Drosophila melanogaster: one gene and its partner. The gene in region 2 interacts genetically with the main gene of each other region. Each region holds a gene or a part of one and is shown on either strand. Other genes may lie near its edges.

Region 1 (4,957 bases), on a different chromosome or scaffold from region 2:
ATGCCGCACAACAACACGAGCAGCCGCCAGTGCAGCTCCATCTCGACACTTCACTTCACTTGTCCTTGTCATCCGTTACAGACCGCCCTTTGGCCCCAAGCCACCCCCCCCCCTTTTACTTCCACCCATATTTTACCCATATTTTCCCGTGCTTCCCCCGACTTTTCCCACCTCCCAACTTGTTGGACTTTTGTAACGGTTCTGGCACTGGCTGTTCATCAGGCTGCAGTCGCAGCAGTTCGGCTTACACACAATTTACAAAATAACCTCAATCCACCCACTCAATCTCGCATTCCCGCGCCCCGCTGGAAAACTGCGTCCCTGCCTCGCAGGGGCCCTTCACTCAGTCACTCAGTCAGCCGACTGGGAGAGTGTGTAAATTGTCTTGTGTAAATATGCAAATTTTTCTTATTTTCATACCCTGAAAGGGAGTCGCACTGCTGCAACAAGAACTTTACAAGCCTCTCAGGAAAATGCAGCCGCACTAGTACTGTTTTATGAAGTAAAACTAGTAACTTTGGTAAGCACTTTTTTGTAAGTGCTATTCAGAATATGCTCAACTGTATAGGAGTTGTATTAAACAAATGCGACTTTAAAAATATTTAAAGAGTTTATTCAGCATTTCCTTCAAGCAATTTTTTTCTACGAAGGAAATCCTTTGAGATGTATCTATTTATCTAATGAAATTTAAAATATAATTTTGCCAAATCATTATAAAAATTAATATATATACTCCCGATTTTTTCCTAATCCATTTAGTTTACAAGCTCTAACTTGATTTTCTGTTTCATAATAAGATTAACTGAAATATTATATACTCTTGCATCGTTTGAGTTCACATTTTTTAATTTAAAGTTGATATGGTCTGCTTTTTACTTTATTTTAACTCATATAATAAGAGTAACTTTCTTAAATCATCCTAATTTCTACCGAAATAGATTCCCATCTATTTTTAGGCACTTTTCGTGCAAGGGTATTAAGCGTATCGACTTCCTGGGGTGTATCCTGTCAATCCTGTTTTTATTGTCAACGTTGTTGTTATTGTCTGGAGTGTGGATAGGGATCGGGGGCGCTGTGGGCGGGGCGCTGGCAGTTCGTGTAAACAAACCAAGGCGTCGGATTAAAAAGTTTTGCATTACAAAGAGTTTTCGGTGGACGGACGATGGGGACGGAAGCTTGGGAAAATGTTTTGATTATTTAACTGCAAGTTACGATAAAACTAATTGCAATTACAAGCGGACTCTTTCCCTTTATGGCCCCTAATGAAATTGGCAATGCCAAGGCTGACGATTCAGCACAACTCAAATCAAACTCGGACGCAAACTTCGCACTGCAATTTTATTGGCCCGGTTCAATTTGAATGGTTTGCTTTCTTTGTTGGCCTCTGCATAAATTTTCCTCGGGCAATATTGATTTCCATTACAAATCCAATATTAAACTATGCCCCTGAGAGCGATTACTCGATTCCTACCGTTTTGCTTACTTACTTAAACCTTTTGTAACTCAACGAAATTGAGGACATGGCCAGGACACGGCCAGGATGCACCCGGCCCACAGATTTGTAGTTATTACAAAGGATCATTAAGAGCGTAGATATATTTTCCCTTTAGACTTGTCATTTAATCTCTGGAAATATTTACTACACATTCCTACCTCATAATTTGTCAAAATATTTTTGGGTGCCTTTAAAAACCAAATTTATGTTGGCCGGGGGAGATGTAAGAGTACTCAAATATATTATTGAATATAAATTGGTAACACGGATTAGCCAGTTTGCAATTGGCCTTGGTCTGCTGAACTTCTGAATAAACTGAATCAAATGCAGATGAAGTAAACTGATATTTGCTAATAAAATATAAGAAACTGAAATTTGAATTGTGCTCAGCCAACTTTAGGTTTTGTTGTAATTTAATTTGCTAGTTAAAAGTTTTCGAAGATTTTGTTGTTATAACTGAACCGAATGTTTCTTAGCAGTATAGTATTCTTGCAAAACACCTCAATGTGGTTTAGAAAAATAATTTATTGTAATTTAATTTAGGTATATCTTAATTCTGTCAGTAGATTCTATGATTTAATTTTCTAAAAATTCTTTGTAATTATTAAAGGTAAATAAGGACCATATATTTGTCTGACCTGTTATTAATTATTTTATACATCTGTACTGATGTGAATGGATGAATATTTTTTAAATGTGTTAACGTAGTGAATTTTCTTGCAGTACCATAGATATTAACTGCTTGGATACTCACTCAAATATTTTAATATATTTATTTTATATTAAAACTTGGAAACCCCAACGTTTTCGAACCTATCTAACATTTTTAAATATAAAACCTAATTGATAAACACGTACTTCATAATAGATAGCACATAGTGAGAATGCACTTTAAATATTTTTAGAACCCACATTATAAAATTTTCAAAAGACTTAGTTAAAATAAATATTTATACAAAGAAAATGAGCAAACAAATGTTTTTTTTTTAATATTGGTTTTGTACCTGTGCCCTTAACGTATTCCACAAAACCACTTAATACAATTTGAACAACATAAAATCTGCTCTCAGAAGAGCATATCACCTGCACTTTAAGTAACTTTACATAGGAATACCTGGCTCTTGTTGGCCGGGAACACAGACTCACCTGCTTTTATTTGACCTTATGCGGCTGCAACTTGTTGACTTTAATGAAAATGCACTCAGCAGAGGCTGACTGGCACACACAAAACGCTGGCACAACAAGTTAATATGTATTAGCTAGTCGCTAGTATGTCTGTAGTATCTTGGCTTAAAACGGCACTCGGTGAGACACCAACAGAAAAAAAAAGGACAAACAAAATCGGGCGGCACTCGCACACTCAAACGTACGCACACAGTTGCAAAACAAGTCAAGCGCGAAAGGACCGACTAAAACATGGCTAACATGTTTGGCTAATTGGCGTTTCTAGCGCCGATTTTTACAGCGCTCTAGCATTTATGTAAGCGGAATGTAAAACGCTTTACAGGACTTCAAAGTCTGGATTGGATTGGATTTGAATTGGAATGTTGTGGCAGGTCGTTCGGTATGTCGGCTGCTGATTTCCTTCGAAGGGATTGTGTGAGCTGTGCGTCCTTGCTGAAGGAGCCGCCGCGTCCAACTGACTGCTGCTGGATGTGCAAGCTGCGATTGTTGCAACGACTCTGCTGTCGCAGCACCAACGAAACGCAGCAGCAGCAGGCGCAGCACGGCGACAGCAGCAGCGTCAAAGGCAAAAGCAGCAGCAACACATAAACGCAGTACATGGTGGGTTCGGTGGAATACATATACATGCTCGTTGCTGCCGAAGTCCTTGCAGTCGAAGGGTTGTGTAGTTGCACTTGTAGTTGCTCGTGTTGCAACACACACAGCAGCAGCAGCAGCAGCAGCAACAGCAGCAACACGACATCAACTTCGGCCCACATTGTGCAATTGGCTTAGTTCCCAGTCAACAACTGGCCGCCTTTACAGTGCCCGTTTACAGCGAAGAGAAATGCTCTCGATATCCTTGGCTGCTTTCTCTCCGAGGATTTTCTCGAACAGCTGTTCGCGCTTGCCGGCTCTTATCAGTGAAATGGTAACAGCTCCTGTTAGCGTGCAAATGCACTTTTCTTTTCTTGGCTTTCCGCAGTGGCATTTCTTTTCGTTTCCTTCCTCTTCCTTGCCTTACTTTCATTTCCGTTCCTTTCGGTGGGGTTTGATTTATTATGTAAAAGTACAAGGACACTGCCACATACAGTGGGTACTCAATTAACTAGCTTTAGAAAACGAAAATATATATATTTTTAAAAAGGCAATGTTTACTTTAAGTAAATATTAATTGAATATAATATGATTTCAATACGAATAGCAAACATAAGTAGGCAACTTAACGTTAATAATTGATGAGTAGGGAAAACTAACAAACAATTTATCAAAAATGTATTAAATATATGCTTTCGCTACGATCCCGATTACAGGGTGTACACTGTACCTGCGGAGCTGCGTGTGCGTGCCAAGTGTTGGACAAACAAGCTGAGCACTAAAGCCGGAATACATTTGAGACTCTTGCAATCGACTTAATACGCCGCTAGAAGGGGGCACGATACGGCCTCATTGCCCCTACGGGAATGACAACCAATATGAAAATGGATTACCACAAAATGCAAATTGCGAAATGGCCAATTGATACCAGCGTCTAGCCACCTAATCGTCCGATTAAACCACCTTAAAATCGCAAAGCAGCCAGGCATTAATTACACGAAGTAAATACACCGACTCGGTTTACTCGGCAATGATAAAATCTATTATTAGAGAGGCCGAGTGGAAAGTTTTCCACCAACCAAGCCAACCAACGTTTGCTGTTGCCAACCGGCGTTGTTAGCAGAGCGCTGCTAAAGGACCTCTGTTAACTGGGCCGGCACGTGTTTCTCTCTCGCACGCACACAGCGAAGCGGATTTTTTGATTCTGTTTTGATTAATAGCTTCGTTGCAAGCTTATCAAGCGCCCACACACACACACACACACACACACACAAGCGCGCGGCCAGGAAGTGCAACAATGTCACGTGGCCGGCATTTGCCGAAGTCTCCTCTCGCCAGGACTCGCGCTCGCTCTCATTTCGAGTTGCCCCCATTTTCTCTCTCTGTAAGGCCTGCGCTGTTTACAGCAGTTAACTTTTTTCCAACGCCCTGCAATCGAACATGTTGCAACTATCCGTCTCTTTTGCGCATTTCCCCAGCCCATCGCAACAACAACAATAAACGAAAATAAACAAAAACAAATATAGCACGAGCAGCAAAAAATCGAGTATTACATAAGTCGGTGCTCCACCTACGCGAATTGGAATATAGTGCTGGCCCTATGTGACTGTCCTATATGAAAGATCGGGTATTTTGGTCGGTTCCTCGCTTTTGGCGAATGAAAACTGCGAAAATGCATTGTTCGTTTTAATTGCCAAGGAG
Region 2 (5,146 bases):
GGAGATATGGATCGCACTACGCATAGAGCCAGGGTTACGGCGGGATTGATGTGGGCGCCTATGAAGGGGAAAGCATATCTTTAGATACTGACGTCAATCTCTGGTGGTGGCCACCCAAAGGGGAGCAACATTTAATATCAATTTGACACTTCTTCGGAAGGCATTTCGTATAGAACAACATCATAACTTAATGCACAACCAATTGGCTGTGAAAAGGCGGGGAATTGCAAGCCAACACAAAATGGGGGAGTTGCAGGAAAATCAAGAACACATGTTTCAAGACGCTTTTCACGATGGGGTCCCAACTACATTACTTTGGTCTTTGGTCTGTTTTCATTCTCTTTTTCTTTTTTTACTTGTAAAGACATTTAATTGCCTTGAATGTCAACGCAAATGAACAAATACATAAATACCAGAATAAATGCAAGGGAATAAGGGAAAAAGAAAGAAGTGGTGGAACTTGGCCCGGGGGCGATAAGATTCCAAGGAGCTGGAGTAGGTGGAGCCGCACCGAGTGCATTGCCTTCTCGAAAGTATAGCAAACAAAAAAAAAGGGGGTTCCGTGTGCTGGCTGGTTATGGTCATGGGGCTCCCTTGAAAACGGCAGTTTCCCACGCAATTCCAATGGGCAACCCGAAAAGAGACACTTGTCGCCCCATTCTGTTGATGTTTTTGCGCTTGTTTATTGTCTCCTTCGACTTACCCGAGATGTGGAGGAAGCACTGCGTCAGTGTAGCCATCGCCAGGCCGGAGGCCAGAGCCGTGGCCAAAAGCACGGACGACACACTGGCCCCCACTCCGACGCCAGCGGCGGCACCGCAGACGATGAACACGTACATGAAGGAGGCCAGACACTCGCTGATGATGGATCTGGAATGGAAGAGGAATGGAAGAAGGCGAACGAGCCCGGGGTTAGCATGGTTCCGCAACTGGGTTTGGTTTGCATGTGGCTCCACCGACTGCATGTGGAATGTGTACAGTACAGTGAATATTGGTTGCATAAACATATATTTCAGCGCTTAAGTATAGTAAGGCTAAGCGTGTTGAGCCAAAGGATTCATACTGAAATCAAATGAAATCCGTTTCAAAGTTTTTGTCGTGCAGCCCTAGACTTTTCCAAGTTAGCTGGTATCTACTGTACGGCACAAATCAAGTTGCACACAAAGCTCTTTTTTGTTGCCCTCAAGTCGTGGAGTGACAATTAAGCAGGGGGCGGGTGGGCAGGCTGAGGAGGAGCTGGAGGGACTGCGAGTGGGTTCTGGAGCGGATGGGGGAGCTCTAGGGGAAGCGTTCTGATGAGCAGCTGCAATGCTGCCGAATTCAGTTGATTCACATTAAGCTAAAAAGCGCAGAGTCCGCTGCACGATAACGAAAATGCAAACAAATCGAGGGCTTTATGAATTTCCATAAAATCATGTATTCAGCTGTTTAATTTGGCAGCGGCACTTCACTTTAATTGGAACTAAATATGTATCTCAACTTCTGCCTAAGTTCTCTGCTCCCCACTAAGTTCAAGTTTTTCATTTTAAATGGTCAGTCGGAGGACTTGAGACAAAAGGGTCCCGCAGTTTAGCCGGAATTTAAGCGCTCGACATGCTGCTGGCTAAGATTTAATTACTCCATCAGCTCGTGATGAAATGTTTGTTATTTGCCAGTTCCCTGAGCAAAAGGTCCTTGTATGGGCCACAAAGTGCTCGAAACTTTGGCCGTGTTTAGTTTGGCGATTATCTTGATGATGTGCGTCTGGAGAACACTTGGATTTCAATTACTTAGCGTTCAGACAAAGCCAGCTGACATCCAACAATTGCCATCTAAAGTTGAGCAAATTGAAAGCAAGTGCAGATAATGACTACAAAAACAAAAGGTTCGAAGATGATATACACGCGAAAAAAACCCCGCCATTTAGATTGAAGATTTAGTTTAGATTAAAAAGGGTTAGTTAATATGCATACGAGATACAATCATGTTTTACCCTCTCTAATTGTAAGTATTTGATCATACACAACAGATTGTGGTTTTATTTAAAATCTTAAAAAAATCTTAGTAAAAATGACATTTTTCCCAAATCATTACTCTAATTTTCTGCACAAAAATTATCAGTTTTTTTATCAGAACATTTAAAATAGTTGTCTGAATATTGAATGTTATACCTCGTTAAACTCGCAATTAAATTCCTAATCGAACTGTATTTAAAAACGACAATTCAATTTTTTTGCCATTTTTTTTCAAATTTTGATGATGTTACCCCTTACAAAAAATGTGAAAATTCACCCAAAAATTAATTTTCCTAAATCCTTCAAAAAGTGATAGGGTTCGATAGCTCTGGTAAATAGCTGCTCAAAACAGTTATTCTTTCATCAATATGAGAAGTTTTAGCGAAGTTATGACAAAAATGCCGCTTGTAAATATCAAGTTTTTGGCAAAAGACGTTTTTCCGAATTTCAGTCATTAAATAACATAGTTAATCCCGTATATCTATATAAGTATTTGTCCTAGGGCAGGCTTGACTTACCTCCAAAACTCCAGCGTGCGAATCTCAGCCTGCATGCTCCGCTTGGGAGCCTGCAGGGTGCTGGACAGGCGATTGTTGACCCCGTGGCCACCGCCGTGCGAGTCCTTACGCATCGCCTCCAGGCGCTCGAATAGCGTCACGATGTGGTAGTCTATGTTGTGCTCCAGGGGCACGGTGTGCAGACTTTCGTCGGCCATGTCGGACTCAAAGCACGATTTGTTTATGTCTACTAATTAAGTAGTTGAATTGAGCGAAACACGCGACAAGAGGCGGCGAAGCTGGCGAATTGTTGGCTGGTCGATTGGCTTCACTTAGACACACATTTCGCACACTGCAAATTGCACTCAATTTATGTCAATTGACGAGTTTCTGAACTTTCGACCGATCCGTTGTGATTCGCCTTCTACTTTGACTTTGACTTCGAACCGAAAACACGTCCGTATTCAAGCGCGAGTGGTGAGCGAATAACCGAGTCGAGTCAGAGTCAGGTTGCTTCTGCTCGCCGACATCGACGTCCACGGCCCTCAGGAACAAGTTGAAGTTGCAACACAACTCACCACCAACACCACCACCACTATCGCTCGGCGGCGGCAGCGAAACAGCTGCCCACTCCACCGACGCAGTGGTGGATAAGCAACCCCTGCACTGAGAAATAAATAAGGTGCATTTGTCACGCAGCAAACGATGGAAATCTGCAAGCAAAAACAACGTTTTAATATCATTATCTTTCCTATATATATTTTGAACGATATACTTATATAAACGTATAAGTAATTTCCAACAACTTATACTTACTTATATAAATAATTTTTTAGTTGCACACTTCTAAGTAAAAGCCACATTTTATACATTAAATAACCTCATAAGATAATATTTAATATCAAATATATTGATTTCACAGTTTCCAAAATATGCTCAGTGCATTGGAACGGAATGGAAACGAAACAGAGGTCCTGTCAACCTGTTGGTTTTACCGCCATACATGAGTAATGCCTCGTACTCACCACCCATTCGGCAGCATAATCATAATCATAAGTTGCTAAGTTAATTGCGCAGCACTGATCAATAACACAGATTCCAGATTCCCGGGACCCAAAGATGATGATGATGATGATGGTTGCGACGATGAGAATGAGGATGATGATGATGATGATGGGGAACACAGGCAGCTGGGCCTGGGAGCAGCTTTCATTGAAAGCATTTCCCTTTTTCGACACATTAATGAAATGTAAAATAATCTGCCCGAATGGGCAAAAACTTTCATTAGATGAGTTGGGCATGCCACTTTTGTGGTTAACTCGGTGTATTAAAATAAAACTGATTTCGATCCCAGGACCATCACACTGGAATTCGCCAAGGGAAAATTATAGTTATGATATAGTTGCTATAATAGTTAGTATATATAAAATTATACATATTTTATTCCCGAACATATCGATAATAAGATAATAAATTAAAACACATCCATTATAGATTACAAGATGAAGCCTTTTTGTGATTTAATATGTATGTATGTATGACATTAAATTCTTTATGTAGAGATTTAAGTACTTTAAGATTGACCATTTTCTTGAGTGCACTTTCGGGCCAGAAACTCCAAAGGGAGATGCCGAAAAAGGGGCCATTCTCACCGGTTCACATTTTCCGCATCACTAAAAACTATAATTATGAGCCCTAACCACTTGATACCCTTACCTGTCAATTGTCAAGCTGTCCTCGTGTGAGTCGAGTGATTCTTCAAGCCCAATGAGCTGTGAAAGTTAAGAAATTAGGTTCGCCACTCCGTGGACGAAGTGAAATCAATCACGCAGACTTCTTTGCCCGGCCACAAGAAAAGAGGGACTCGAAGAAAGCGAGGAGGCCTCAGAAATTTCGTCACTGTTGCGATTTTGTACATTATTTTTTTTCCGACAAACTTCGGAAAAAAAAGGGGCGGAGGAAGGCAGGGGGCCGTCGGAAGGACGTTGCCATATATGGCACGTTGGAGCACCATGATGATGACGATGATGATAATGGGGATGATGATGCGGAGGAGACGCCGAAGGAGACGAGACGACAAAAGGCTCTGGCTCTGGGACCTCTGAGCGTGGGAATTATTTTGCACACACTCTCTGTGTGTGTGTCTGACTTTTTGTTTTTCACTTTTTATTTCGTATTTTTCGCTTGTTTTTACGTCGAGGTCGCACGGGGTCGTTCCTTTGGCCGGTCGAAGGTAAGGTAATAATAAGATGTTTTGTTTCAATCACATCGTCGTCATCATCATCATCATCATCACCATAATCATCGTCGCCGGTCTTTCTGCTCGTGTGCATGCAAGATCCCCTTCCTGCAGCCATGGAGGTAGTTCAAGTTAGTTTCTTAGTTATTGATTTTATCAATATTACACTTTTTAAGTCATTCTTTGATATGATATCAAAGATTTAAGAAGGAAATTAAAAGTGATTGTACCTATGGAGAAGAAGTAAAGATTTTAAATAGATTACTGAGAAGGTAAGAGCTGTTAAGAATTACCCGTAGAAAACAATTTTAAACACATTCACTAAAAATTTAATACTTCACAATTGATAATAATATTGATAAGACCCCCCTCTGGATACATCCATGTCCGTACTTATCGTGGGAGAAAGACAACGA

Evidence for each region.
Region 1: of bib (region 2) and fru, changing one enhances a phenotype caused by changing the other (phenotypic enhancement), as found in Drosophila melanogaster (one study listed by BioGRID).

What each region holds. Positions count from the first base shown.
Region 1 is NT_033777.3:18,542,472-18,547,428, forward strand, and holds the start of fru (fruitless), read right to left. Parts: upstream 3,116-4,957; 5' UTR 2,642-3,115; intron 1-2,641. UniProt on the Drosophila melanogaster protein: Probably acts as a transcriptional regulator.
Region 2 is NT_033779.5:9,982,513-9,987,658, reverse strand, and holds the start of bib (big brain), read right to left. Parts: upstream 3,015-5,146; 5' UTR 2,710-3,014; coding exon 2,513-2,709; intron 871-2,512; coding exon 704-870; intron 59-703; coding exon 1-58. UniProt on the Drosophila melanogaster protein: Essential for proper differentiation of ectoderm. Acts synergistically with neurogenic locus proteins Notch and Delta during the separation of neural and epidermal cell lineages in response to the lateral inhibition signal.